7 linked regions of the Oryctolagus cuniculus genome follow. The protein of the gene in region 6 interacts with the protein of the main gene of each other region in a biochemical or structural test. Links are inferred from orthologs where the notes say so. Each region holds a gene or a part of one and is shown on either strand. Other genes may lie near its edges.

What was found.
Region 1: of the proteins of LRRK2 (region 6) and ARFGAP1, one has a biochemical effect on the other in vitro, tested with the Homo sapiens proteins (3 studies listed by BioGRID and IntAct, with this or other methods). The link is inferred for Oryctolagus cuniculus from reciprocal best matches to the Homo sapiens genes LRRK2 and ARFGAP1.
Region 2: the proteins of LRRK2 (region 6) and YWHAZ interact on a protein array, tested with the Homo sapiens proteins (3 studies listed by BioGRID and IntAct, with this or other methods). The link is inferred for Oryctolagus cuniculus from reciprocal best matches to the Homo sapiens genes LRRK2 and YWHAZ.
Region 3: of the proteins of LRRK2 (region 6) and RPS15, one has a biochemical effect on the other in vitro, tested with the Homo sapiens proteins (2 studies listed by IntAct). The link is inferred for Oryctolagus cuniculus from reciprocal best matches to the Homo sapiens genes LRRK2 and RPS15.
Region 4: of the proteins of LRRK2 (region 6) and MSN, one has a biochemical effect on the other in vitro, tested with the Homo sapiens proteins (9 studies listed by IntAct). The link is inferred for Oryctolagus cuniculus from reciprocal best matches to the Homo sapiens genes LRRK2 and MSN.
Region 5: the proteins of LRRK2 (region 6) and MATK interact on a protein array, tested with the Homo sapiens proteins (2 studies listed by BioGRID and IntAct, with this or other methods). The link is inferred for Oryctolagus cuniculus from reciprocal best matches to the Homo sapiens genes LRRK2 and MATK.
Region 7: the proteins of LRRK2 (region 6) and GAK interact on a protein array, tested with the Homo sapiens proteins (3 studies listed by BioGRID and IntAct, with this or other methods). The link is inferred for Oryctolagus cuniculus from reciprocal best matches to the Homo sapiens genes LRRK2 and GAK.

What each region holds. Positions count from the first base shown.
Region 1 is NC_091442.1:567,002-570,501, forward strand, and holds part of ARFGAP1 (ADP-ribosylation factor GTPase-activating protein 1), read right to left. Parts: intron 3,382-3,500; 5' UTR 3,378-3,381; coding exon 3,318-3,377; intron 3,061-3,317; coding exon 2,951-3,060; intron 2,850-2,950; coding exon 2,678-2,849; intron 2,352-2,677; coding exon 2,251-2,351; intron 1,389-2,250; coding exon 1,302-1,388; intron 1,013-1,301; coding exon 916-1,012; intron 38-915; coding exon 1-37. UniProt on the Homo sapiens protein: GTPase-activating protein (GAP) for the ADP ribosylation factor 1 (ARF1). Involved in membrane trafficking and /or vesicle transport.
Region 2 is NC_091437.1:126,339,366-126,342,865, forward strand, and holds part of YWHAZ (14-3-3 protein zeta/delta), read right to left. Parts: intron 3,443-3,500; coding exon 3,319-3,442; intron 2,894-3,318; coding exon 2,730-2,893; intron 2,639-2,729; coding exon 2,543-2,638; intron 1-2,542.
Region 3 is NC_091447.1:58,779,087-58,782,683, forward strand, and holds RPS15 (small ribosomal subunit protein uS19), read left to right. Parts: upstream 1-1,278; 5' UTR 1,279-1,493; coding exon 1,494-1,496; intron 1,497-1,739; coding exon 1,740-1,825; intron 1,826-2,595; coding exon 2,596-2,830; intron 2,831-2,958; coding exon 2,959-3,072; 3' UTR 3,073-3,097; downstream 3,098-3,597.
Region 4 is NC_091453.1:45,583,947-45,588,133, forward strand, and holds the start of MSN (moesin), read left to right. Parts: upstream 1-1,387; 5' UTR 1,388-1,665; coding exon 1,666-1,677; intron 1,678-4,187. UniProt on the Homo sapiens protein: Ezrin-radixin-moesin (ERM) family protein that connects the actin cytoskeleton to the plasma membrane and thereby regulates the structure and function of specific domains of the cell cortex.
Region 5 is NC_091447.1:59,377,422-59,381,677, reverse strand, and holds the start of MATK (megakaryocyte-associated tyrosine-protein kinase), read right to left. Parts: upstream 2,801-4,256; 5' UTR 2,648-2,800; intron 1-2,647. Other genes in the region: ZFR2 (zinc finger RNA-binding protein 2), read right to left, coding at 3,805-3,990, 4,085-4,182.
Region 6 is NC_091440.1:131,746,094-131,750,332, reverse strand, and holds the start of LRRK2 (leucine-rich repeat serine/threonine-protein kinase 2), read right to left. Parts: upstream 2,801-4,239; 5' UTR 2,699-2,800; coding exon 2,542-2,698; intron 2,399-2,541; coding exon 2,313-2,398; intron 1-2,312. UniProt on the Homo sapiens protein: Serine/threonine-protein kinase which phosphorylates a broad range of proteins involved in multiple processes such as neuronal plasticity, innate immunity, autophagy, and vesicle trafficking.
Region 7 is NC_091433.1:225,045-228,544, forward strand, and holds part of GAK (cyclin-G-associated kinase), read right to left. Parts: intron 2,931-3,500; coding exon 2,881-2,930; intron 2,500-2,880; coding exon 2,351-2,499; intron 2,077-2,350; coding exon 1,954-2,076; intron 1,090-1,953; coding exon 956-1,089; intron 1-955. UniProt on the Homo sapiens protein: Associates with cyclin G and CDK5. Seems to act as an auxilin homolog that is involved in the uncoating of clathrin-coated vesicles by Hsc70 in non-neuronal cells. Expression oscillates slightly during the cell cycle, peaking at G1.

The sequences.
Region 1 (3,500 bases), on a different chromosome or scaffold from region 6:
CGAACTTGCTCGCTCCGGTGGTAAAACTGCTCCAACCCTGAGAGGCACAGAATGGCAAGGTGGCCGCCTCACTGTGACCGCCCGACCCCGCTGACTGGCAGGCCCCGCTGACTGGCAGGCCCCGCATGACCGCCCAACCCCGTGTGACCGCCAGGCCCCGCGTGAGGCTCTGAGGACCACACCTGCTCACCGCCCGCAGCCCGTCTCTGCACCTCACTTTGAGTTAGTCTAAAAAGCCCTCCCTGGGCCGGCACTGTGGCACGGTGGGTAAAGCCACCACCTGCAATGCCAGCATCCACGTGGGCACCTGTTCCAGTCCCGGCTGCTCCACTTCCCATCCAGCTCTCTGCTGTGGCCCGGGAAAGCAGTGGAAGGTGGCCCAAGTGCTTGGGCCCCTGCGCCCATGTGGGAGACCCGGAAGAGGCTCCTGGCTGTGGCCTGGCCCAGTCGTGCCCTTGCAGCCATTTAGGGAGTGAACCAGTGGAAGATCTCTCTCTCGCTCGCTCCCTCCTTACTCTCTCTGTAACTCTGCCTTTCAAATAAATAAAAAAGAAATTAAAAAAAAAAAAAAAAAGCCTTCCCCTCGTCGAGGAACGGCTGCGCCAGCTGCACGCGGTGGCTGCCGTGGGCCTCAGAGGCGTCACCAGAGGGTGAGAATCCGTCTTGGAAGCAAAGTGCCCTCAGGGAACAAAGGTGACGCCGCGTCGCCGGCACCAGCACGGGCATCAGCCTGACCAGGCCTGGCAGTGACCGCGCAGCCGGAGGAGCCCTCCAGCTCTATCCCCCGTCGCTGTCACTCTGCCTGTCAAACACATCAACCTCAAGAACAAGAAACCCCAGCCCAGATCCGTGTCTTGGCTGGACGGCACTGGGGGCGGGGCAGGGGCCGCGCACCGCGCTGCAGCCGGCACCCACCGAGCACAGCGAGGACATGGCGCTGTTGAGGAAGTCGTCCTCTCTCTTCTGGGGCGGCACCGTGTTCCCAAACCCCACGTAGCGATTCTCCTGGGCCCTGAAAGCGAGCGCTGACGTCAGCCCGGCGGCTGCGGCACGGACCCCGACGCGCCTGCGCCCGACGGAGTGCAGGGGCCCACAGCCACAGCCGTGCTGTCCGTCTCCAGAAGGTCCCAGCCACCAGGACGGTTCACCTGGCGACTCCCTGATGGGCAGATTCCAGGGGAAGGGCCCTCTCCCTCCACTCAAATCTGGGCTGGCCAGGGCTCGCCAGTCAACCTCTAACCCCACACCCTCCACAGAGAAACCGGCCCTGCCCACGGGACCCCCAGCCGGGGAGCCCTCACCCCTGATAGGAGCCGAGGTCGTCGTTCAGCCAGTCCTCGAAGGCCTTGTCTGCGGACGCGGACGCGTTCTGAGTCTGCCCGGAGGCCCTGCGACCGAGAGCCAGTGACACCGACAGCCCCAGCAAGGCCACGGGCACGGCGACGGGGCTCGGGTCACACCGGCCCCAGCTGTCTGAAAGGCTGCTTGGGCTCAGCTGTAGGGGCCTGAGGGCCCCAGCACTGCGGCACCTGTGCTGCCAGCACCCCATCGGCTGCTGGGTCAAAGGGCACAACTACCCGAGTCCCTGCACCTGTGTGGGAGACCCGGACGGAGCTCCCGGCTCCTGGCATCAGCCTGCCCAGACCTGGCCGTGGTGGCCATCTAGAGGGTGACCCAGTCCCTGCACCTGTGTGGGAGACGTGGACGGAGCTCCTGGCTCCTGGCGTCAGCCTGCCCAGACCTGGCCAAGGCGGCCACCTGGAGAGTGATCCACGGTCTCTGTCTCCCTTTGCTGTTGCTCTGCTTCTCAATCTTTTTAAAAAGCACAGAGCTGGCTTCCCGGCAGCCCTGCACCAGCATGCGGCAGGGAAGAGGGGAAGAGAGGAAGGGGTGGCCCCAGCGCCCACTGCAGCCCCCACACAGGGCGCTCCCCGCAGCGGGACGTGGGATACAGCCACTCTGGGGTCAGCTCAGCGGTCACAGGGCCGCCCCGGAGGACGGCGACACTCAGAGGGACAGGGCGCTGGCGACACACAGCCCTGCTCCCCGGGCTGCAGGGGGGCAGTGTCTGTCTGGGAGGGAGAGCGGCGCCCACGCTGGGCAGGGGGAGACACTGCTCTCACCCCACTTATTTCGCGCCCCTGCTTGCTAAGGGCTCGTCCTGCTTTGGGCATTTTGGGGGCACCACAGCCACGCGGGGATCCTGAGCTGCGCCCAGGGCCGGGCCAGGAAGATTAGGGGCGTAGCTACCGGTGGGCAGTGGCCAACGACGTCCTGGGCTGGGGTGGGGTCCAGTTCTGGGCAGGTGACGACTCCAGAGACCACGCTCTGCCTTCAGCCAGGGTGGCCACCTGACGGGGAGCACGGGTGGTCAGGGTGTGCATCGCCTCCACGCGCCCCACCCTCCCCCAGGCCCCAGCGTCGCCCAGCGTCGCCCAGCGTGGGCCAGCGTGGGCCGTGGCCGCCTCAGTCTGGCCGTGCTTGGTGAACGGTGCAGCTCCAGCTCCAGAGTACAGGGACCCCACGTGAACTACGCCACGGCTCCACCGCTCCTCCGACGTCCTGACCCGAGAGGAGGGGCGGCACCGCACGCCGCAGTTCCTCGTCGCCCCTGCAATCGCGGCCCCGGGCCGCCCACTGCCCTGGCCAGCCCCACGGCCGGCGCGTGAGAACTTGCCTTGTCCCTGAAGAGGGCCGCGGCCCTGCTCTCGTACTTGTCCTGCAGGGACCAGCAGGGGTCGTAGTCGGCCTGGGACTCCAGGAACTCCCGGAACTTGGCGTTGCCCCCGACCTTCATCTTCTCCAGCTCCAGGTCCTTCCACTTGTCCATCGTGACCGAGCGCACGAAGCTGGAAGCCGGAGGTGGGCACTGGCCTCATTACCAACCGGGGGGCGTGCGGGGCGACCCCCGCCCCGGCCCCCCCAGACACGGGTGCAGGCGGGCACTGACCTGAGGTGCACGCCCAGCCCGCGGTGTCTCCCCGAGCACTCTAGGCAGATCCAGATGCCGTAGGTCACACTGACCCACTGCGGGTTGAAAGCGCCACACTCAAAACAGACCTGCAGAGGGGGCCACACACGGCTCGCCGGGGGCTCGGGGCAGGCCAGAGAGCCCGACGCCACACACAAGGACCCCGGGGGAGGAGGGAGGCCCAGGCGGCAGGCAAGCCTGGGCGGGGTGGCCGCTGATCCTGCCAGGAAGCCGGCACGAGGGGCGAGCAGCCCCAGGGGAAAGCGTCCAGCAGGAAGGCCAGGCAGACGGCCCCGGGCGACAGGAGGGCCGTGGCCCACGGCAGCCGCAGGCGGCCCCGACTCACATTGTTCTCGTCCCGCACCCTGACCTCCTTCAGAACTTTCCGGGTCCTCGGGCTGGCCATGACGCTGTGGAGACAGAACGGCCCCGTGACAGACCCACACGCGGTCCCTAAGTGAGCCATCGGCTCACGACACTTCACACCTGCCCCTTCACGAGGCCTCTGGCCCACCGCGAGCTGCCCAGG
Region 2 (3,500 bases), on a different chromosome or scaffold from region 6:
CTGGTCCAAACCTGGCTACTGTAGGCTTTTTGGGAATGAACCAGTGGATAGAAAACTGATCAATCTCTCCCTCTATCACTCTGCTTTTCAAATAAGTAAATAAATATACAAATAGTTTTTTAAAAAAGTACTTTACAGTGGTTATCAGAGATAATTTAAATGTTAACTCAAGGTAATCTTAAATTTCATTTGACTTACACACTGAAAAGGGTGGGGAGAAAACCCTGCAAAGTACTTTCTTTTCCCAAATCATCTGTAACTTCATTTGTTTACTAATTAAATATATGTATAGCCTGGAAAGAAGACTAATGTTCAAATTCACAAAACTAATGGCCAGTTGGAGACTGCAAGTCCTATTAAACAAGGGGTTTTGTGAGTCAACAGGAAATTGTCTCTAATGTGTCTTTCTAGTTCTACTCTTAAAGGACGCTAGAAATTCTCCATATAAACATGTAAGGATTTGATACAGGGCATTTCTCTTTCCAGGGTGACGTGATGATGATCAACCAGATTCAGATTCAAGTACAAATTAGGCTTTGGCGAAATTCTTTACTTAACAGATAATCAACCTGTAATGATTAGTGATGAGAATACAACAATTAAGTCTTAGGCTCCACCTTTTCAATGTCATCTCAAGGGGCTGGCATCCAACACTGGCGCGCAGACTGGAACCCTGACTCTTGGGTTCGGCCCAGATCAGCCCTGGCTGTTGTGGCCGTTTTGAGTGAACTAGTGCATGGAAGGTCTTTTTCTTTCTTTCTTTTTTTTATTTTAATTAACTTTTATTTCTACCCCTGCAAAGAAACTTTTTACAAACTTCATGTATTCCATAAGCACAATTTTAGGAATATAGTGATGATCTTTCTCTTTCCCTCTGTCATTCTACCTTTTAAATAAAAAAAAAGTTTTTAAAAATGAGCAAGATTACTAGCTTAAAAAATAAAATTCTTAATAATTCTTCTCCAGACAAGTTTTACTCTAGAATATAGAACTGTTCTTCTACAGAATATTGGCAGTGGACTAGCATGAAGTTGGAAAACTTTAAAGGTATAATAGCCCCCAAGACAAATGGCCCTAAAGCTAACAAACCCGTATCAACAATAATAACAATTGTCGCTCCCCCTCTTCGTGGAGGAACGACACAGGACCCTGCGCTGTTCTTTTGTCTGCTCGGCCCTCCCCAGGTTTGCTGCTGGTTCTTCCCGGGTTGGCTACCATCGCTTCCACCTCCGTGGAAGGGCGGTTCCCCCTAGCCACTTTCCCCACTTCCGTGGGGGAGCGGCACACCGCCGGCCGGCTCTCTCGGGGGCTGCACAGGTGTTCCTTCAGATAGATGTTCCCGGTGCATGTTGTCTCTCTCCTCCTTTATAGTCCTCTTCCACCAATCCCAACTCTGCTACCCACACGCCGAGTACGCTGCTCTCCTCCAATCAGGAGCAGGTCCTGCTGTTTATTGGTTGAACTGGAGGCAGCTGTGTAGAAGCTGTCTCCTCCTCTCCCAGCGCCATATTGTGGGAGAGCAGATGCATAGAATAAGTCTTAATTCCAGTAACTTAGTCTAGTCCGAGTTGCTCCCCACAACAATCACCAATCCCTACCTCTTTACCTGACACATAGCAGATGCCTGGCCATTTTTTCACTTAAGCCTCAAAACTTTAAATTTAGTATTTATCTGAAGGAGAAGAATGGGAAAACCTTAGCAGCCAAGGACACATGTAAACCAACTGTCACATTGGGCTTCATTTATCAAACTACTTTTAGAAAATTGGAATTTAGGGGCTGGCACTGTGGCAGAGGGGCTTAAGCCACTGTCTTCGATGCTGGCATTCTATAAGTGGTGGTTCAAGTCCTGTCTGCTCCACTTTCAAATCGAGCTCACCGCAAATGTGCCTGGGAAAGCAGCAGAAGATGGCCCAAGTCCTTGGGCGCCTGACACCATGTGAGACACAGATGAAGCTCCTGGCCCCTGGCTTCAGCCTGGCCCAGCCCTAACCATTGCAGTCATTTGGGGAGCAAACCAATAGACAGAAGATCATTCAATTGCTCTCCGAATTTCAACGTGATTTAACATTATTAAAGAATTACTATTTTTTTTTGGAGTGATAACATCATTAATATCTTTTTAAAATCTGGATTATAACAAAAAGATCATGATCTCCCATAAATTAGCCATTTTAAAATCAGAAACCAGGCAAAACAATTTCCACTCACATTTTGTAGAGCATTTTGTGTCTAAAATTGAAAGAATGAGGGACTTAAAATGAAAAATAAACAGCCTATGTGAATTAAGTCCAAAACCATGAATCACAAAATTATTTTGAGAATTAAAATTTTCACAACAGACTTGCAACTAATCAAAGGAATGCAGTACATTTTTATCTCTTCATGTAATATTTCAGTTTATAGAAGGGAGTTTTCTTCTTCATATGGTTTTAATAGTAGATAGGATAATCTACCTAGTAAAAAAAAGGTCAGAAATATTCCTTGTAGTAAAATAACAATCTTTTCAGCATGAGTCATCAATGATATGCCATGTACTTACTGTCAAGTTGTCTCTCAGTAACTGCATTATTAGCGTGCTGTCTTTGTATGATTCTTCACTTAACGTATCAAGTTCAGCAATGGCTTCATCAAAAGCCTATGTTAAAAAAAGAAGTGTTTCAGTGCTCAAATAATAAAATGTAATAATAAAGCTTGCTAACTGTCCACATAATAGGTAAAATACATACTGTCTTTGCAAGAGAGCAGGCTTTCTCTGGGGAATTCAGAATCTCGTAATAGAACACAGAGAAGTTAAGGGCCAGACCCAATCTGATAGGATGCGTTGGTTGCATTTCCTTTTTGCTGATTTCAAAAGCTTCTTGGTATGCTTGTTGTGACTGATCCACAATCCCTGAGTAATAAAACACACTGAAATGTACTTAAAAAGTCTGTACTTCATTCTCACCCCTCAAATCAAATCTTTCATTGAATATTCCTGAGATACCACACTGGCCACTGGTTAATTTCAAGATCAAATCAGTGTAATCTCATTATTGCTACATTGTTTTAAACCAGTTTTGCTATGGCCACTATTTCTTAAACTGAAGAAACATCCTGTATGCAAAGCTGGCTTCCCAGAAAGTATACATTTCAGAACACTAGTAACAGGCTGTAAATACATATCCTCAGGACTCCAGAAAGCCCAACAGCATTATGGCTCCTTACTAGTACCTCTAACCAATTAACAACATCAACAAAAATTTGCACTTCAAAGAGACAGCTTCCACACTAGGTTATTTTACAGAAATCCAAACAACAGGTTTGAGAACACCATACCCTTCTTGTCATCACCAGCAGCAACCTCAGCCAGGTAACGGTAGTAGTCTCCTTTCATTTTCAAATAGAAGACTTTGCTCTCTGCTTGTGAAGCATTAGGGATCAAGAACTTTTCCAAAAGAGACTAAAGAAGAAAAGAAACAGATGTTATCTATTCACATTCTGATTTCAATGAACAGGAA
Region 3 (3,597 bases), on a different chromosome or scaffold from region 6:
GCAGCCACTGTGACCGGGATGTGGTGTCCGCGTGCCACAGCGCCGGCCCCTCAGCCATGCCTGACCGTGATGTGCCCGCGTGCCACGGCGCCGGCCCCTCTCAGTCCTGTCTGGGATGTGGTGTCCGCGTGCCACGGCGCCAGCCCCTCAGCCATGCCTGACCGTGATGTGGTGCCCGCGTGCCACGGCGCCGGCCCCTCTCAGCCATGCCTGGGATGTGGTGTCCGCGTGCCACGGCGCCGGCCCCTCTCAGCCATGCCTGGGATGTGGTGCCCGCGTGCCACGGCGCCGGCCCCTCTCAGCCATGCCTGGGATGTGGTGCCCGCGTGCCACGGCGCCGGCCCCTCTCAGCCATGCCTGGGATGTGGTGCCCGCGTGCCACGGCGCCGGCCCCTCTCAGTCCTGTCTGGGATGTGGTGTCCGCGTGCCACGGCGCCGGCCCCTCAGCCACTTCCAAGCGCACACTCCGGTGGTTACGGGACCCTGACCCAGTGCAGCCCCCGTGCGGGGTTGGGGCACCCAGGGGCCTCCGGGGTGCGGCCACGCAGTCCAGCCGTGGCTGCCCGGCCAGCGGGGCCGGCGCCCTTCCCTGAGCAGCAAGTCCCTGTGGCTCCTTGCTTTTTGGTGTTTTTTGCTTGTTTTGAGATTTTATCCATTTGAAAGGCAGAGTCACGGAGCTTTGCCCCCTGGGTCACCCCCCAGCTGGGCCGGGCCAAATCCAGGAGCCAGGAGCTCCGCCCGGGTCCCCCACGCGGGCACAGCCCCCAGCACTCGGGCTGCCCCAGGCCACAGCAGGGCGGAGCAGCCGGGGCTCCAGCCGGGGGCGGGCCGGCCACAACCCACGTGTGCCACGGTGCGGCCACGAACCCCTGTCCCCACCATCTGTGCGTGGAAGTGTGGGCTCTGTGCACCCGAGCGGATCGCTGATCAGACGTGGCTCGGCTGGGAGGGGTCGCGCCACGTCCTTCGCTGTCTGATTCTAAGAGGGACGCTGACCACGCAGATGTCCACCACGGCCGAGGCCGGGCCGGGCCGGAGCCGGCAGCCAGGGGCCCTGCGTCAGCAGCAGTGCTGGCGTCACGAGTGGAGCTGGCGCGTGGGTGTCTCAGCCCCAGCGCGCGCGTGCACGCGACTCCTTGATAATCTGCCTGTCCATCTATGCTGGACACCGGCCACCCAGCGCTGCAGCTGCTAATGTCACGTGGTTGTGTCCGGCTGGATCCGTCCCCTCCCTGCCACCATGGCCCTCTGTCTGGAGTCCGACCGCCTACCAGGCAGCGGGGGCTCCAGTTGGGTCCGCGGTGCCCCCTGCAGAGCCGGAACCAGAAGTCCTCTGCAGCCTGCAGTCCGCCCTCCGAACAGCAGAGGGCGCGCGTCCGCCGCAGGGTAGGCGGAAGCGCGTGCGCGCGCACGGCGAGAGGCGGGGCACGCAGGCGGCCTCGCGATAACTGCGCGTGCGCGAGCTGCACGTCCTCTTCCGGGAAGCCGACAAGATGGTGAGTGGTGCGCGCTGGCTCCTCCGCGGGGAACGTATCGGGCGCCATCCGCGCTCTGCGGGGACCGCAGCGGGGTCCCGGGCTGCCGGAGGGACTCTGCGGGTCCCCAGGGCCGCCGGATGAGGGGCGCGGGCGGGTGCGGGGCGACCCGGGGCGGGGAAGGTGCGAGGCGGCCGGCTTGTCCCGGCTGAGCCGCCCTCGGGGGTCTCCGGCCTCCGCTGACCCCCGGGCCGGCCCGCGCAGGCGGAAGTCGAGCAGAAGAAGAAGCGGACGTTCCGCAAGTTCACCTACCGCGGCGTGGACCTGGACCAGCTGCTGGACATGTCCTAGTAAGCGGGCGGGGCTGGGGCCGGGGTCGGCGAGGCCGGCGCGGCGCGGCGCGGCGGGGAGGGGGCGGGCGCCCGGGACGACCCTGCAGCTCTGGCCGGGGCTTCGGGGGCCGGCGTGGCGGGGAGGACTCGGGGCTCAGGGAGCCGGCGTGGCGTGGCGGGAAGGGGTCCGGACGCCCGGGACGACACCGCGGCTCTGGCCGGGGATCGGGGCTCGGGGCGGGGGTCCGGGGTCGGCGAGGCCGGCGTGGCGTGGCGGGAAGGGGTCCGGGCCCCCGTGACGACCCTGCAGCTCTGGCAGGGGCACCGGCGTGGCGGGAAGGGGTGTGGGCGCCCGGGACGACCACGGGGCTCTGGCCGGGGCTCCGGGGGACTCGGGGCGGGGGTCGTCGTGGCGGGGAGGACTCGGGGCGCCGACGTGGCGTGGCGGGAAGGGATCCGGGCGCCCGGGACGACCCCGGGACTCTGAGCGAGGGTCCGGGGGGACTCGGGGAGCCGACGTGGCGTGGCAGGAGGGAGTCCGGGGCTCGGGACGCGACTCTGGGCGGGGGCTCGGGGCGGGGGTCCGGGACTCGGGGCGGGTCCTGGGGACTCTGGGCGGGGGTCCGGGGTCTCGGGGCGGGGGTCGTCGTGGCGGGGAGGACTCGGGGCGCCGACGTGGCGTGGCGGGAAGGGATCCGGGGCTCGGGACGGGACTCTGGGCGGGGTCCCGGGGGGCTCGGGGCGGGTCCGGGCTCCGGTCCCCCGCCGACCGCGCCCCCCGCCCGCAGCGAGCAGCTGATGCAGCTGTACAGCGCGCGGCAGCGGCGGCGGCTGAGCCGGGGCCTGCGGCGGAAGCAGCACTCGCTGCTCAAGCGGCTGCGCAAGGCCAAGAAGGAGGCGCCGCCCATGGAGAAGCCGGAGGTGGTGAAGACGCACCTGCGGGACATGATCATCCTGCCCGAGATGGTGGGCAGCATGGTGGGCGTGTACAACGGCAAGACCTTCAACCAGGTGGAGATCAAGGTGAGCGGGCGGGGCGGGGAGTGGGGGGCCGGGGCGGGGATGGAGGGGGCGGGGCGGGCCTGACGCCGCAGGGGGGCCGGGCCTCCCCCTGCCCGCCGCTGACCCCGCCCGCCCCCCCCCCCCCGCAGCCCGAGATGATCGGCCACTACCTGGGCGAGTTCTCCATCACCTACAAGCCCGTGAAGCACGGCCGGCCGGGCATCGGCGCCACGCACTCCTCCCGCTTCATCCCGCTCAAGTAGCCCCAATAAAGCGCGCTCCCGCGTGGCCGTGGTCTGCGTCTCCTTCCTGGCGGGCGGGACCCTCGTCCTCACACCGCGTGTCCCGTGCGCCGCTGGGCAGAGCTGACAGGATCCCGGGGTGGGCGCGGGCTGCCATCCGCGGCGGCATTGGGGGGGCGGGTTCCGCGTGGACGTGGAGCCACGGGGAGGGGGGAGGTCCCGTCCTTCCCGGCAGGAGGGGCCAGTGGCAGGTGCGATGCGGCAGGCCCCGCCCACTGAGGCCGGGACCTCCTGGCCGCAGCCCCGCCCTCGCCCCGGCTGCCCCACTCGCGGGCCCGTCCCTCTCGCGGGGGACCCGGAAGAAGCCCCCGGCCGTTGTGGGCGTGAGGAGTGAGCCAGTCCCCGGAAGACCTGTCTACCTCTGCCTTTGAAATACACACAGTGCTGCCTCGTGGGGAGCGGCCCGCTGCGCGTCCCAGGGCTGCCCGGCTCCCGCCGCTGCCCCGGCAAGGGGTGGGGGGGATAGAGTCGGCGCCCGGGGCCCAC
Region 4 (4,187 bases), on a different chromosome or scaffold from region 6:
TCCTTGTGGGCTTTCTCTGGAGTGCTGATCATTCTCTTGACAAATACTCAGTTAAAGAAAGTGATCTTGGCTAGAAACGCTGCTTTTCCTAGTACACATCAATGAATCTAGGCATCAGTGAGAGAAACTGAGGCACACTGACTCATGGACCCCATTAAGCTGGGAAAGCAAAGGAGGAGGGAACAGGACTCTTGGTTTGTGAGTGCAAATCCAAGGTCAATCTTTATGCAGCCTAGCTAGGCTCATCTATTGTACTAGGGAGGCTACTTCCTTTCTCATCCTTTTATAATATCAGAGTGGGAAAGGACCTTAGAAACCCAGGAGTCCAGTCCTTTCTTGTTACACGAGGGGGAACTCGGTGCCAGAGAAGGGAAGGGACTTACCAAGAGTGCACAGTGGTCAGAGTGGGTTAATGGAAAGTAGAACCAGGTGTCCTGCTACCCCTCTCAATTGTGCTTTCCACTATCCCAAGATGGCTCACAAGCCCTGCGAGTTGGAGTTTCTGCTTTCACAAAGGATACTCAGATCACTCCTCTGCACGGACGCTAGAGAAGAGAGAAAAAGGGCTATGGCCAGTTCCTTTAACCTGGACTTAGCCAGAGTCCTCCCGCAGTCTAGAATACTGCTGTCCTGGGACTTTGTGACCTTGACAAGAACTATAAAGGGAACTGACAGAAATACTCCAAGCTCCAAGATACTGGTGTGTGTGTGTGGGGGGGGCTGCATCTCACCTGAGGGAATTATAATCTCATCAAAAAGTGAATGTGTTAGGGGAGGGGCTGAAGGATGGGGCACTGATTTGAAGAAGGTAGAGACTGGGATTTGGAGGAAGGCAAGTGGGCAGAGGACAGATACGGAGCTAAATTCTGATGAAAATGAGGACTGAACAAGAATGGGGAGGAACTATGATGGGAAGAGTCTGACAGAAGTGCTGGTGGGGCTGAGGCAGTTTATTCCGGAGAATAGCAGTTTACTGGAGATATGGGATCTTTTAGGGATAGCAGGAGATAACCTTGCAGCCCTAGGGAGCAGAGCTGAGAATCAAGGATGGGAGGCACACCCACAGGAATAACTTTTTAAGAGTCTGTCTTGAGACGGAACAAGCAGCTTTGATTGGTAGTGAGCTGCCCATCAGTGGAAAGTTGCAGTCAGGGATTGCAGTAAGCAACTGCCAGGGTGCGGCCCAAGGTCTAGCCCCGAATGGGGGCGGAGTCGGGACCGGATGGCCGGGACTTGGAGGGTTAGGGGCTTTGAGTGAACTGAACTGGGAGAACGGCAGGGTGGGTCTGAGTCGGGAATGGGAGTCCCCCTTGGGCTGCCCAGGGCTCAGCTCGGCCCCCCACGTGGCCGGGGTGGCCAGGCTGGGCCGGGCTGGGCTGGGCGGGGCGAAGCCGGCGGCCGGCGGGGAGGCGGCGCGAGGGCGGGGAGCGGCGCGGAAGCCGGGCCACATAAAGGAGCGGGCGGTGCGACGGGGGCGGCTCTTTCCTGGGTGGGGTTTATGAAGTCGTGGCCCGTTAGCAGGAAGCCGAGCAGTCGCCCCGACGCTAGAGAGGGACCCAATTCGAGTCCCCGAGCCCACGAGTCCGAGCGGTGTGTACTGCGTGCTCCGCGCTGCCCGACAGTTCCCAGCCAAACTTCGCCAACTCCGCCGCCTTTGCCGCCACCATGCCCAAGACGGTGAGTGCGGGAGTGAGCGCTGTCGACCTCTGGTCGGTCCCGCAGACCCTCGTAGCCCTTTGCTGGTGGCCAGGGATTTGGCCGGCTACCAGTCCTTCTGGGACGCCGCGCCCTCAGCCATGGCCTGGGGTGGGGAGGGGAGGGAAGGCGAGGGGGGTCTCGGGGTTGAGGGGGTGTCCAGGCTGGAAGTGTGGGAAGGGCGGGGCTGGCCTTTTTCTGAAGATCCACTTTCCTGCGTCGGGGATGCGGCATTGAGGAAGGCTTTATTGGGGGCTTAGGGTCTCCAGCTTCCCCCAAAGGGCCGCGGACGCAGGGGGGATGACTGTGGTTCAGAAGAGAACACTTTCCCCTGCCCAGGAATTGGCGCGTTTCTGGGGAAAGGCTGCCCCAGTCCTGGATAGGCATGGGAACCTGGGAAACTGGGTGGAAGGAGGGAGCGGCTCAGGGCGGATCCCGCACCCCCACTCACCTTTCCCCACAGCTTCCCCGGGTGGCTCCAGCTGTTTCCCACTGAGAGGAAAGATGTGGGGGTTCATCATCTAGGTTGCTCCCATGTACCCAGGAGCGCCAACATTTCCCTAGGGACCAGACTGAGGAGAGGCCTACGCCACTTCCTGGGAGAGAAGACCGGTTTCTCCTTCCCTCCACCCACCAAATCCCTGCCCTTGCCATTACTTAATGCCTCTCTGTCCTCTCCAGACTGTGCTGAGAGGTGTGAGTTCTCTGCTGTGGGGCCACACCTTTCTAGAGCGGTGGTTGATCCACCCCACTGGCTGTTATGAGAAGAACAGAAGCCTCCTGGGAGTGGGGCCTAGGGGGGCCGGATGCCCAGGAGGGAGGGGCGGGGGAGGGGTGTGCCTGACTAATGAGCTCTGCTTGCTTTTGTGCAAGTCATGCCAAATGGCTGCTGGGGCCCTTCCCTTGTTCACGAAGGCCTGGTGAGCATCCTGGCTTGAGTCCCTTAGGCCAAGCAGCTTGTTGAGCTGGCCTAGACTATGCAGTGTTTCCAGACTTGTCTCCCTAGGACTGCCTAAGGCTAGTAAAGCTGTGACAGTGACAAGGAGCCTTGAGAAGGGTGGAGAGACCCTGGGGATGAGAGGAGAGTGGGGAGAGCAGTTCTTTGGGTGCGTGCTGAGCTTTCGTTGCCATATTGTCATATTCCGGCCTCACTGCCAGGTCATTCTTGCCTCTCCAGAACTCTGTCCTTCAGAAACACCACACTTTCAACAAGTATGCACTTCCACCATCTCTTTTAAATTGCCGGTGGTTTTATGACATAGGGCATTTCTGTACTTTACTTCCAAAAACCTTCTGGCAACAAAATGAGAAAATGGTTTTGTAAATTGTTGGGAATCCACTGTCACTGCCAACACAGAATATTATACAGATCCTTCTGTTAATCTCTCTTTGTGCCTATCTCACTGTGGTTGACTTCTGACTCCTCTGAAGGTGTGATTTTGCCTGAACAGATAGATGGGTGGATCTCTGGGAGTAGACTTTGCTCTCCAGTTCCTTATGGAATATCTCATTCTCAATTCTGAGATATTCCACTCTTTTTTTAAAAAATTATTTATTCTAATGGCAGAGAGAGAGAGAGAGAGAGAGAGCAAGCGATCATCTGTTCTTGGTTCACTCCTCAAGTATTCACAATACCTATGCCTAAGCCAGGCTAGAGCCAGGATCCTGGAACCTTCCATATTGGTCGCACAGACACAAGTACTTGGAACATCCTCTGCTGCGTTCCCAGATGCATTAGTAGGAAGCTGGATTGGAAGTGGAGTTGAACTGGCACTCTGTAATGGGTTGTAGGTCTCTCAAGTGGCAACTGTGCCACAATGCCTGCCCCAATATCCCACCTTAAACAGGACTTGATAAGCCTGAAAATTGCATCAAAATTGCTTTAACCATCCCATCTCAGTCAAAAGTTGCAAAGAAGATGATGTGCTGATTTTTTTCCTGGGTGTGGGGAGAGATTAGAGTATGAGTTGTTTGGGATCAGTCCTAGGGTACTAGAAGCACCTGAATAGTGAAGGTACTCCTATGCAAATTACTGAAACTTGAACGAAATTGGAAGAAAGGACTTGAATTTTGATGGACTGGAAGTATTAGAGAATTTTCCATCCTGTTAGACCCAAGGAATTGTTAAATTTTATAGAAAATAACTGTGTCATTCCCGTTAAGACCACAGAATCCTAACCTGAAAGGCACTTCAGAGGCTCTCTGTCTAGTATATCCCTCTTAAAGCATTGATGCTTACGCTTACAGGAAAGGACCTACCTAAGGACATATGGTGTCTGAGCCAAGATTGGGGTCCAAGTGTTATGATTTCTGTCCCACTGATCACCTACTCTGGACCCATGATTGGGTTCTTTTTTTTCTTTTAAAGATTTTATTTATTTATTTGAAAGGTGGAGTTACAGACAGAGAGAAGGAGAGTCAGAGAGAAAGATCTCCCAATTGCTGGTTTACTCCTCAAAAGGCTGCAACTGCTGGAGCTGGGCCTATGGAAG
Region 5 (4,256 bases), on a different chromosome or scaffold from region 6:
GCACAGCGCAGCGGGCACCAGGGGGCTCTGAGCGCCCAGGCCCCCTGGTGGGGCGATGTGTGCGAGCGCCACCGTGCACGCGCCCAGGGCCCCGGCCGCCCCCAGCACACCCTGCGGCCCGCGCTCCACGCCACCACGTTCTCTCTGGGGTCCGTGTCAGTCCCCCCCCCCCGCACCCCGCGGACGCGGGAGGAAGTCAGGGAAGGAGCAGAGGGGCCTCAGGCGTGGGGCCGGCGTCCCAGGGCACCGTGACTCCTCTCGGGGTCACAGCCACAGGCCGGGGACAGGAGGCGTCCAGGACGTGGCCTCTCGCAATCTCGACTCGGTGGCTCTTCCTGTTTCCCCTGCCCCCCAGCGCGAGCCGGCCACGCACCCCGGCCCCTTCCTCGCAGGGAGGCCCCCTCGCCAAGCAGCCAGGGGACACGGAGGAGACGGTAGCCCTCCCTCCCCCGTGCCCCACGTGCAGCGGCCCCAGCGTCTGCCACTCACCCTCCTGCGCCCGCCCCTCTGGTTCTCACCACTGGCATCACCCAGGTTCTCGCGAATCCCGCAGGACGCAGGGGCCACCTCCCACCCCGGAACCCCGACGGCTGAGGCCCAGGCACTTTGAGGAATGGGGTGAGGGTCGGCAGCAGAGGGAGAAGCCGACCGGTCGGGCGAGGCCAGGAACGCGGCCTCTTGGCGCCTGAATGAGCTCCATCGGTCCCATCTGCATTCCAGCCCACGAGAAGTGCGAAGGGGCAGCGACAGGTGCGCCTCTCTCCACGTCCCACTGGGTGGAACCCAGTCAATGGCCACCCTGGGACCAGAGCCCAGGGGAGATGGTGAGGCCAGCAGCACCGGGCAGCTCTTCCTCCAAGCCAGTGGGCGGGCCGCTGCCCCAGGGCCTCTGCCCAGTGCGCTCCGCGGGGCTGCCACTCAGCCGCCGCCTTCCCGGCTGGGTCCCCTGCAGGCCGTGGACGAGGCTGGTGCACAGCGTGTCCGCAGCGCGCGCTCCAGGCAGGCAGCGGTGGGGCTGAGCCGGGCGGCGGCCGGCGGCCAGGCCCCACTGCCCCAGTTACCACGTCTTTAAATTTAGCTCCCCGCCCCCTGCCAGGGGACTCCGCGGGCTCCTTCCAGGAAAAATGCAGCCAGTGCCCGCCCCGCCACCGGATGGAGGCTGCCTGAGCCCCCACCCCCGCACACATCACGGCCCCCGCGCCCCCCTCCCCCACACCCCCGGGGTCACGGCCATCACCCTCCAGGCACCAGCCGGAGCCGCACAGCCTCCGACCGCGGGGCCTGGCCCATGGCCCGCCGGCACCGAGGCGAGGGGCAGGTGACAGGCGTCCGTCAGGGCGAGCTCCGAGCCCCTGCTCCAGGGCTGCGTCCCCGGGCACGGGACCCGCAGGTGGGGCGGGCAGAGCTGCACGCCCATCAGCGTTTGGAAGCCCCCCCAGCGGCGAGCCCCTTGTCTTCCCGACCTCCGCATCTCCGGCTCGGTCCTCTCGGCTCCCGGGAGTTGGTAATCGCCAGGGTTTCAGGCGTCTGCGGCTCCGCCCCCGACCCCCCCCCCCCGGCTGTGCACGGGCCCGTTTTTGGGCACGCGAGGCCCTCCCTGCCCTCCCTGTGTGCGTGACCTGGGCCCTGGGCCCGCTTCCCCGCCCGCCTCTTGGAAGTTTGCGGCCTTTTCTGGCGCCCTGGGGGCTCCGTGGCGTGTGACAGTGGACACTGCTGGCCTCCCTGGGTCCGACACCCAGTCTTGTCGCCCCCCCCCCCATTCATCTTTTATTCTACTTTGCGGACTTTTTAAAAAAATTATCTGAAAGGCAGTTACATAGAGACCGTCCATCCACTGGTTCACTCCCCAGATGGCCGCAGCGGACAGCACTGGGCCAGGAGCGTCCTCCGGGTCTCCCACGTGGGTGCAGGGGCCCAGGCGCTTGGGCCAGCTGCAGGGAGCCGGACCGGAAGTGGAGCAGCCGGGGGTCTCCAACCTGCGCCCACGGGGGCAGCCGGCGGGAGCGGCGGGTGCCCGCGCCCGGGGCGGGGGGACTGCGAGGGGGCCGCGCGCGCTCTTTGGGACGGCCGTTGTGCACACGTGGGCTGCTCGCCCAGCGCCCGGGCTGGCGAAATTCGCAAACCTCCTCCCCTTTGGGGGGCGGCTCACGGCCATGGGATCCCAGCGCCCAGCAAGGCATGCAGGCGGCCGGACAGGCCACGCTCTCCACGCGCGGGACGTGGACGCCCACAGCGCGGGGCGCCCAGCAGGGGCGAAGCTCTGACGCTCGCTGAGCGCCCCGAGGACGTCTCAGCCCGGGAGAGAAACGGGCAGAGGCCACGCGTGGGCTTCACCCACGGGGCACGTCCAGGACAGCGGGCGCGCCGTGGCCGGAGGCTGGGAGGGGCGCTGCAGCGTTCTGGAAGCAGCGCTGGGGCGGCCCGGCCCGGCCGTGGGCCTTCGGGGAGCGAGCTCGTCTCCCTCGCCCTGCCTCCCCAATAAATGCAGAGGGCGCTGGAGGGCCTCGCGTTTCCTCCTCTATCTTCCTGCTTGTCGGGTTTTTTACGGACGGGGGCGCCCCTCGCGCGAAGCCGCCACGCCGGCCTCCAGCCGCTGCCCATCTCCCGCCCGCCCTGCCCGCGGCCCTCCCGGCGCCGGCCCGCTCACCTGCGGCATCTCCGCGGGCGCCGAGGCGGGCTACGCGGCACCGGCTGGCGGCATCGCCTCCCCGGGCCGCGCCTCCGCGGGCCCGCGACCTTGGGACGCAGCCGCCGGCTCCGCGCTCCCGCTTCTGTCTCCCGCACCGCCCGCCAGCCGGGCTGCAACCCCGCCCCCACGCACGCGTCATCCCGCCCCCACGCGCCGCGTCGCCTAGCAACCGGCTCCCCGCCCGCACCCGCAGCGGTCGGGATTCGTGGCGCCGGGCCCGGGGTGCCCGCGCTCCGGAAGGCAGACACTGCTGCAGCGGGGGCCGGCGCGGGGCAGCAGGACGCGGGGGCTGGGGGCGGGGCCGAAGCCCGGCGGAAGCTGCTTATTGGGGTGTCTGCCGGCGCAGGGGGCGTTAGAACGGCAAGTCCAGCCTCGGGCGGACTGTCCGGCCGCGGGCCCTAAGGAAGCCAGGGGGCTCCGGGTGGGGAGCGCCGAGCGGAGTGGTCGGGCCGCCCGCCGGGGCCGGGGTGAACAGGGAGGGCTGCGGGGCTCGGGCACGCCCGCCCTCCACACAGAGAGCCCGCTCCGGCCCCGCAGGCCTCCCGGCGGTGTGGCCGCGTGCCCGACTTGCAGCGAGGACAGGGACAGCCCCGGGCAGAGCCCCTGGACTCCCCCCGACCCAGCCCAGCCCGCACACAGCGCACGGTGGCGGCTGAAGACGTCTCCTTTATTGCCCCGGCCCCCGGGAGCCGCCGGGCCCTGTCTCAGGGTGGACCCTGTCCCAGGGTGGGCCCGCATGCGCGTCCCCGGGCCAGGAACGCTCGCGAGGGGCGGCCGTGCCCGCAGCGGGGCGGGAGCTCCCACCCTGGGCAGCCCTGACCTCCAAGGCACTCGGCGGTGCGGGGTGGGGCCCGGCCCGCGTCCTCCCCCGGCCTCAGCCACCCCACCCCGGGGCAGGGCGGCGGCTGCGCCCCTCATGGCGAGTCCGCGCCGGGCAGGGGGCAGGGCAGGCACGCAGGGGCCCGGGCAGGTGCCGCGTCTCCCGGGCGAAGCGCGAGCGTTGAGAAGAGCCGGGGGCGGGGCCAGTGTCGGGGCGGGGCGGGGCCAGTGTCGGGGGCGGGGCCAGTGTCGGGGGCAGGGCCGGGGCCGGGTGGGCGGGCGGGCGGTTGGTTGGCTCAGGCGAGGCCCTGCGCGCCGGGCCGGCCGCGCTTCTTGTCGGCGTTGGCGGCGGCCTCCCTCGCCTTGCTGGCCTCGCGCTCCCTCTTGCGGAAGCGGACGCCGGGCCTCCTCTTGGGCAGCGGCAGCGGCTCCATGCCCAGGACCTTGTGTATCTGGCGGAAGACCAGCATGCGCAGCGCGTGCTGCGGGGGCGCGCCGTCAGGGCTGGGGGCGGGGGCGGGGGCAGGGGCGGGGGCGGCCGCCTGCACCCCGGCCCCGCCCCGGCGCGCCGCCTACCTGCGCGCTGGCCGTCACGTCCTCGCGCTGCTGCGCCGTCATGGGCTCCAGGGCGTCCATCGGGTCCTTCTCGCAGGGGTCCTGCAGCCCGGGGCCGTCTTCACCGGGGAGGGGGCGGCAGGGAGAGCGAAACCGGTGACTGCGCGTGCGCGGGACCCCCTAACCCCCCCCC
Region 6 (4,239 bases):
TGTACCTGCCTGGCTGACACAGGGAGAAAACCTGTGCTGTTTTCGTTGTTGAAACTGCAGCATCAACAACGGCTCTGCAGAAAGATGCAGTCACCGAGCTTGCAGGAGCTCGGCGGAGCGTGTGTGAGCCAAGACCATCTCTGGCAGAGCAGCAGAGGTAACAATCGATGCATTCATCCAGCCCATTAAAAGCTTATCTTCCGAAGAAGGCCCCTATTCTGCACAGCTACTGCGCAATCACATCAGTAGCTTCACTTTAGGATAATGATCCTATAAACCCAAGCATCTCATCAGTGCACAATGGAGTGCAGAGGTTAGCAAGATTGTAAGCCACTTTCATTGATTCTGCGCCCCCTTTTCAGTGGCTGAGACTGTGCGGATAAAAAGTAATACTGAGGAGCAGAGAGGAAATGAACGGCAGCGAGAGAGAACTTGGCCTAGCTACCAGGTCTCCCAACAGTCATCTACTTAAAGCATTCGTAAAATACACAAAGGTCCTGAAGAACTCAGAGCCTGCAGTGTCACATTAACGGGCTTCTGAGAAAGCCCTTTTGGAAGAGTCAGGCACCTAACTCCTTAAATATGTACTTGCAGCAGGTGAAGCATTCAAGTCTTCTGCGCCGACAGTCAAAAAAATCTGGTGAGGGAGAAACCTGCTTTTACGTGGAGAGGCCCCTTTCCACATCCCTCAGATAAGACCACCTAATTCAAACTGATGTCCTGATGTCAAACCACTGAGCCTGTGCCTGGCACGCATTCTGCAGTTACTGCAGCTCAAGACGGAAAGAGAACCTGGGGGTGCGAAAAGTCTCAAGCCCCCAACTCTGAGACCCCCAGGGAGTCTCATAATGTCCACTGAGCTCCCGCTAGATAAGATACCCAGCAGGAGTTCTCCGAGCAGTGAGACCCTGTGAGAATCAAAAGGTGCCATGTCCATCATCCCTTATTTACTGTGCACCACGCTTTGCCTCTGGTACTCTGTGCAAAGACCCCGAGGGACCTGCCTAACGACCCCAGGCTCGGGCAGTTTCTCAAATTAACAATCAGGGACTATGTTCCTGGCTCCCTTGGGCTTCCCAGAGCAGCACTCCTCCCCACAGTGCATACCCAAGGCTGTGCAGGATCCCGGGGAGAGAACTGGGAGAGAGACTCCAGAACACCCAGCACATGCTGGAAGAAGGGTGGTGTGGGTGACAGCAGCAAGCACCATCAGCCAGCCCCTAACAACTACCCAGACTCGAGAGCTAAAATGAGGACTCTCTTGACCACGCCTGCCCTTCCCTCTGGGTTTGGTTTGACAGCAGACAGAACATCAACTGTCAGATGGCAAACACTTCGCCATTGAAAGAAAATAAACATTTACTCTAGATGTAAGTGTTCTCATAGGAAGCAGGCAGATCCAGGGCCCAGGGCTCATGCAGAGGAGCTGCAGGTACAGAGACAGACCCAAGGTGGAGAGACACTGCCATTCTCCCAGCTGCAGCCTGCCAGATCAGTGCGCGGGCCCCTCCCCCCAGCGACCTGACCCGCGGGGCACAGGACTGCTCTCAGTTCCCCAAATCTCAAAAGCTGCACAGGACGTCATCACCTTGGGGAGTAACCGTCCTGGGGTCAACCACTCTCAAGGCTCACTGACTCCTGCCTGAACGCCCCGAAGGCCTTCGGCGCCTTTCTGGGTTCCCCCATGCTGCAGGGTCTCGAAGTTTCACTCCTACAGAGGTTTTAGGTCACAAACCTTAGCGAAGCACCAACTCAAACAGGTGAGGCAATCAGCAAACATCACTTCCTTTAAATCCTACAACGCAGCCCGAATCTCACGAAGGCGCGGAAGCCTTCAGACTGGAAAGAGCAGCCGCGGAGAGCCAGGGCGCAGACCTCCAGCCGCCTAACTGCGTCTGATTGCCGTTCCCTGCGCCCCTTGGTCAAACTCGCCCTTCCCAGACGGTCTGGTCTGGACCGCGGCTGCACGTGGGGGAGCCGTTCAGAGGGGTTCCTCCCAGACACGACGGGGGGCTGGCTCCTCCTGCCAACAGCAGTCCCCGCGGCCACCCAACCCCTGCAGCCAGCTTTGGGTAGCGGCTTGGGAAAGCGGACTGGAGCGTGCCGGGCCCTCAGCCCGTTAAGTCAAGCTCAGGATCCCCCAACAATGCCTCCAGCCTCAAGACAGCCAGCGGTTCCGGAGGCCAAACCTCGGCTCGGCCCGGCCCGGCCCGGCCCAGCAGCCCCGGGGATGCGGCCTCCCCGCCGGCAGGCAGGAAACGTCGGGTTCCCAGCAGAAGGAGTCGCGGGGTGGGGTAGGGGGGCGCCCTCACCTGCTGCACACTCGCGACCCTCATATACGAATCCAACACGATCAGCAGAGGCACGTGGAAGCTTTTGCCCCGAAACAGCCTTGAGGCTGCAAGACAAGAGGGTGAGGGAGGAGAGGCAGAGTCAGGGCCCCTGGCGCTCTGCGCCCCGGGGAAGGCCGGGCGGCAGGAGCGCAGGAGCCGGGACCGGTTCGGGGCGCAGCGAGGCGCAAAGTTTGCGCGGCCGCCTTACCGCGCTCCGAGTACGTGAACACGAGCAGGTCCTCCAGGGTCTGCACCAGCGTCTCGACCTGCTTGCCCTCCTGGACGTTGTTCAGCTTGACCAGCAACTTCTTCAGACTTTCCTCGTCCTCGTCGCTGCCCTGGTTGCTGCCACCGCCACTGGCCATGGTGGCTCGGGCTGCGAGCCGCCGCCCTCCGCGCCCCGAGGAGGCCTCCTGCGCCCGGGCCGGCCCCGCGCGCCGCCCTCCGAGGCCCGCCGCGCCCCGGCCGCACGCGCGCGCCGCCCACGGGGAAGGCGGCCCCGCCCGGCGCGGCCCTGCCTCTCCCGGGCCCGCCTCCCTCTCCCGAGCCCCGGGCCCGCGGCCTGCGTGGGGCTCGGCCCAAGCGTGGATCCGCGGCCCGGCTGGGGCGCGCCCACGCCCGCGAGACCCGCCCTGGCGGCGCCGGATCCCGTAGGCAGCGGTGGCGGCGGCGCGGCCGGAGCCCACGGCGACCCCACCGCGGCCCGCCCGCCGGAGGTCTGCGCCCTGGAAAAAAGGAAAAGCGAAAGCCGGCGGCCTGCCGACCTAAGAATAGAATCCGGGCGTTGGGCGAAGGGGACGCGGCCCAGCCTCCCGGGTCGGGATCGCGGCCTCGGGCTAGGGGATGCGCTCTGCCCCAGGGATGCAGCGGTGCGCGGGGAGAAGGGCCCGGCCACCCTCTGCCGTGGCCGCGGCGGGGGACGCACCATGCGCTTCCCCGTTGCTATCGCGAGCCCCGGGGCTCAGGAGGCCCCCAGAAACCAACTTGCGAGCTTGAGTTTGCGGCAGGCGGCACCGTGGTGGAGGGGACGCCGGGCAGGGTGGGTTCTGCGCGCCGTGGGAACCGAGAGAAAGACGGGGAAGTGAAAGGAGAGGTGAGAGACCCAAACCTCAAGTCTGTTTGCTCAGTGTCCAGAATGACTCTGTGGGCCTGTGCGTCTGCGGATGGAAGGCAGGGCGGCCTCCGGGGGTGGGAGTGGGGGGTGGAGGCTGGGGTCCTGAGAGAGGGAGAGGCTGGGCTGGAAGTTAGTGCTTCTCCGTTCCCATATCGGTGGCATTTTACATTTTACTAAAGAGGAAGCTGGGGGCTGGAGCTGGGGAGTGGGGCTGAGCCGAGGTCCCGCAGGTGCGCACTGGGGAGCCCGGACTCGCCCCAGGTGGACTGAGGTCTTCCCAATTCCCGCCTTAATCAGAGTGGGCTTCGCTTTCCCAGTGGATACCTTGAAAATGCCCCTTGAATGTTTCACACACAGGCCGGAGCGTTTGTGGTTGAAATGACGGAGCGCTCAGGTTTGCTCCAGAGTCCCCCGTGGGGAGGGGAGGGCTGGCACGGGCGGAGGCAGAGGTGGGTTGATCCCTGTTGAAGGGAAGAGAAGCGTTCGTGCAATCTATGGTACTTCTCTCTCTGTATAAGATTTTCCAAAAGCGACAGACAGCGCCTTGCACTCCTTATCAGATCTCCAGTGTGTGCTTTTCCAATCGGCGTGGAACCTGTCTGAACTTCCGGCCGCAGAGGCAGTAACTGCGCTGTCCCTAGGAGTTCTCCCTCTGTGCCCTCCTCCTAATCCCTTTGCACCAGGTGCTCCCTTCCCAGACCACTGGATTACCACTTGTAAGAAGCCGGCACTCCGTCAGCCAGCCTGTGAGCAGGCCCAAGGCCTGTGGCTTCTCTTGGGAGCATCCTCCCA
Region 7 (3,500 bases), on a different chromosome or scaffold from region 6:
CGGCCTCCTGGGCTGGTGACTGAACGTGTGGTTCCTCTGGGAAACCTGTCAGCCATTACTTCCTCTGCTCCCACCTTGTACATCTCCTGGCTGCAGCTGCACGTGTGGCCGCTGGAGGCAGCTCCTGCGGCTCTGCCGCTCTTGCTGGGCCCGGTGAGGGCTGCGGCACTGCACTGCACGCCCCGGCTCACCCCCAGCACTGCCCAACCGTCCCAGGAGCCCTGGGAAGGCGCTCCTCACGCGTGAGCACGCCTTCACTTCAAACAGCTCCACTGGATCCCAGCCCCCAGTCCTGCCCGGGGCCCTGACCCCGCTGTGCGGACAGCGCCTCCTCCACCGCCCCGCGAGCGCCCTCCGAGCTTTCAGCAGCACGCGGCCTCGCCCGCCTGCGGCAGCCCCAGGCAGCACACTCGGCCTGCAATGCAGCGTCTGGCCGTGTCTGCCCCGGGGCCTCGGCAGGGGGAGGCCGTGCCAGCTGTCAGGGTGGGAGTGACACCACGTGTCCCTGCGAGGAAGGAGCCAGGCCGCTGTGGGAGCCCACTCCGGGCAGACACGACTTGGGGTGGCCGTGGAACGTGGGCACCGCCTGCGAACCCAGCCTGACACAGGACCCACAGAGAAGACGCGCTACCTGTGGCACACACCCCTGCCTCCAAGGTGATCTGCCCACGCAGGGTCCACGGCACAGCCTCACACAGCATCTCCCAGGCCACGTGGGCTCTGTGGGGCGGACAGCAGCCACGCCGAGCTCAGATGCTTGCTGGAAAACTTCGGGCCTAGGAGCTAGCCGGACAGCCGGCCACCTAAGGCTGGGCGCCCCAGCCGACTGCCACGCGTAGCCCACTCCTGCCGGGCCCTTCAGGCTCCAGTCTGCAGCTGAGTCGGCACTGCTGTGGCGCAGACTCGGCCTGCAGAGGGCAGCAGCTCAGGCCACGGTGCTGAGGCCACACGCTACCTTTTGTGGGATGGCCAGATGCCCGGCGGGCAGCGCTTCATGCTGAACATGTACACGGCGGCCTCCGCGGTGCTGAAGAGGCGGCAGAAGCACAGGAAAGCGCAGACGACCACGGCGGACGCAGCTCTCCCATCCTGATGGACAGACAGGCGGTGGGCGCGGGCTAGCATGCCTCCTGCAGACTTCCTCACCAGCCACGTGGGGCTCCCACGGGCCGAGCCCACAGAGAACGAGACCTCAGCAGGGAGCGCAGCCCACCAGCCCCCACTGGCTCTGCTGCACCACAGCCACCAGCCACACGCTGGAAGCTGAAGCCCAGCCCACTGTGGCCACACAGAGTGGCCCAGGGGATCCTGGAGAGGGTTCTTCCTGGGGACTGAGTCAGCTCTCACAAGGGAGTGGTTATGAGGGGCCGCCAGACCCAGCCCTTGCCACGCAGTCCTTCCCCCTGCATGTGTGTGTGTATGTGTGCGTGTGTGTGTGTGTGTGTGCGCGCGTGCACAAGGCTGCTTCAGCTTCAGCCTCCACGCTTGTTCTAGGAAGCCAGCCTCAGGTTTCTTCACACCCGACTGACAGCCGCGTCCCCCAGCAGCCGAGGCTCACTCCTGACCCTGGCCCGCATCTGCACACCCGACTGACAGCCGCGACCCCCAGCAGCCGAGGCTCACTCCTGACCCTGGCCCGCAGGAAGGAAATCTGGAGGAAGGACTTACCCCTGGCCCCAGACAAGGAGGGGCAGGGGCAGGGGCAGGGGCCGACAGGCCGAGCAGCCCCTGTGTAGGCCACACAGGGCCGTCCCTCCCCATGGGAGTTCCGCATACAGTGGCTCTGCCCGCAGGGATGGGGCCCCCAGCTGCGGCCTGGACACAGGCCCTGGGCTCCCCGAGGCAGGGCTGTACTCTGGTGACACCTTCCTCCACACCACGCCCAGGTTAAGAACACCTAGTAGAGCCCAACAATGCAGGGAGTCCCACGCGGCACGGCCGCCCGGCACTCACCGTGCAGTGCACCACACAGACGTTCTTGGGGTCCCGCCGGAGCCAGCCATGCATGTCCCTGCAGATGCTGTACAGGTTGTGCAGGAGGGGCGCCCGCCTGGCAGCCCAGCCACACTCAGAGACCTGTGGGAGGCTCTGTTCAGCCCGGCGCCCCCACACAGTGCGGTCTTCCCTGACTCCTGGCACTGGGGCTCCTGGCAGCTGCAGGCACAGCCCAGGCCACGTCTCTGCCACGGAAGCCTCGGGGTGCAGGGAAGCCTTCAGTGTTGCCACCGCCCCCGGCCTCCCAGGCCAGCTGCTCCTCCAAGGCTCCTGTCGCAGCCCCAGCCACCAGAGCCCCCAGCTGAAGCTGCAGCGGCCACACCACTGCTGCAGCGTGACAAAGCCCAGCACTCACGCGGCTGTGGAACTTGGAGGCCCGGTACGTCCTGGGGGACAGGTTGTAGACGGCGTAGTGGCCCGCGTGCTTGGCGTCCAGGAACAGCCGCACATCCTCTATGTTGTTTTTGATGGCCGACTCCACGCCCTCCGCCGGGAATGACATCACTGAACAAAGTGAGCAGTGCCAGCTCAGCCGGGCCACAGCAGGGGCACCAGCAAGGCAGCCTCCCATGCCCTCTCCATGGACAGCAGCCTGCACCACTGGCCCGGCACAGACGAGTCAGCTGTCACCAGGCTGACCAGCTCGGGTCAAAGCAGCCGCCAAGACTCCTGGGGAGCGCTTCTGAGCACAGGCCACTTCAGCCTGACACCCACAGGAGACCGGGTGCTGCAGGCCTGGCTGTGTGTCCCTCCCTCCCTCAACTCAGACTTCTGTCCACTGTGCTGGACACAGGCTGACCCTCTAGGACAAGGCCCCAGGGCACTTCTCGGGTAAATCTGTGGCTGCCCACAAGGCCAAGCGTCTGGAGCTGTGCTGAGACATACCGGCTATGCGGGAGGTGACGTAGGAGATGTCCAGGTCGCCCTTGGCATAGCTGCAATGAGAAAGAGGAACACTTGGAGCTAGGAAGCACGGCTGGCACTGGAGCGCGTCTCAGCCGCGCAGGCTGTAGGGCTGGGCACGAGGCCCCTGCAGACAGCGCCAGGTGCTGGCTGGACACGGAGGCCAGCAGCACAGGGAAGGCCCCGAGCGCCCGGACACACGCTGGTGGCTACAGCCCACTCACAGCAATCTACCGTCCCCTGAGCCGGGCGCAGAGTCGACAACACAGCCTACACCTCCTGTTGACCCACAGGGCCTGCAAACGCACCCTAAGTTCACGTGAGAGCAGCTGTGCGGGAGGACCTGGCACTGGGACAGGCACAGGAGGCTGGCGGCAGGGGACAGGGCTCAGGGGTACCACCCACCCTTGGCAGAGCGAAGCAAAACTCCCAAAGTGAGGCTCAGACAGACTAAGCACCCCCAACACACTACAAACCCATCACCAGAAGACACCGCACGATAATGTAAACAGGGGAACACGGGAACTCGGGGAAGCGAGGGCCTCCCCAAACAACGGCAGACGGGTGACACAGGTGAGCCAATGCCCCACACGCCCCGGGCA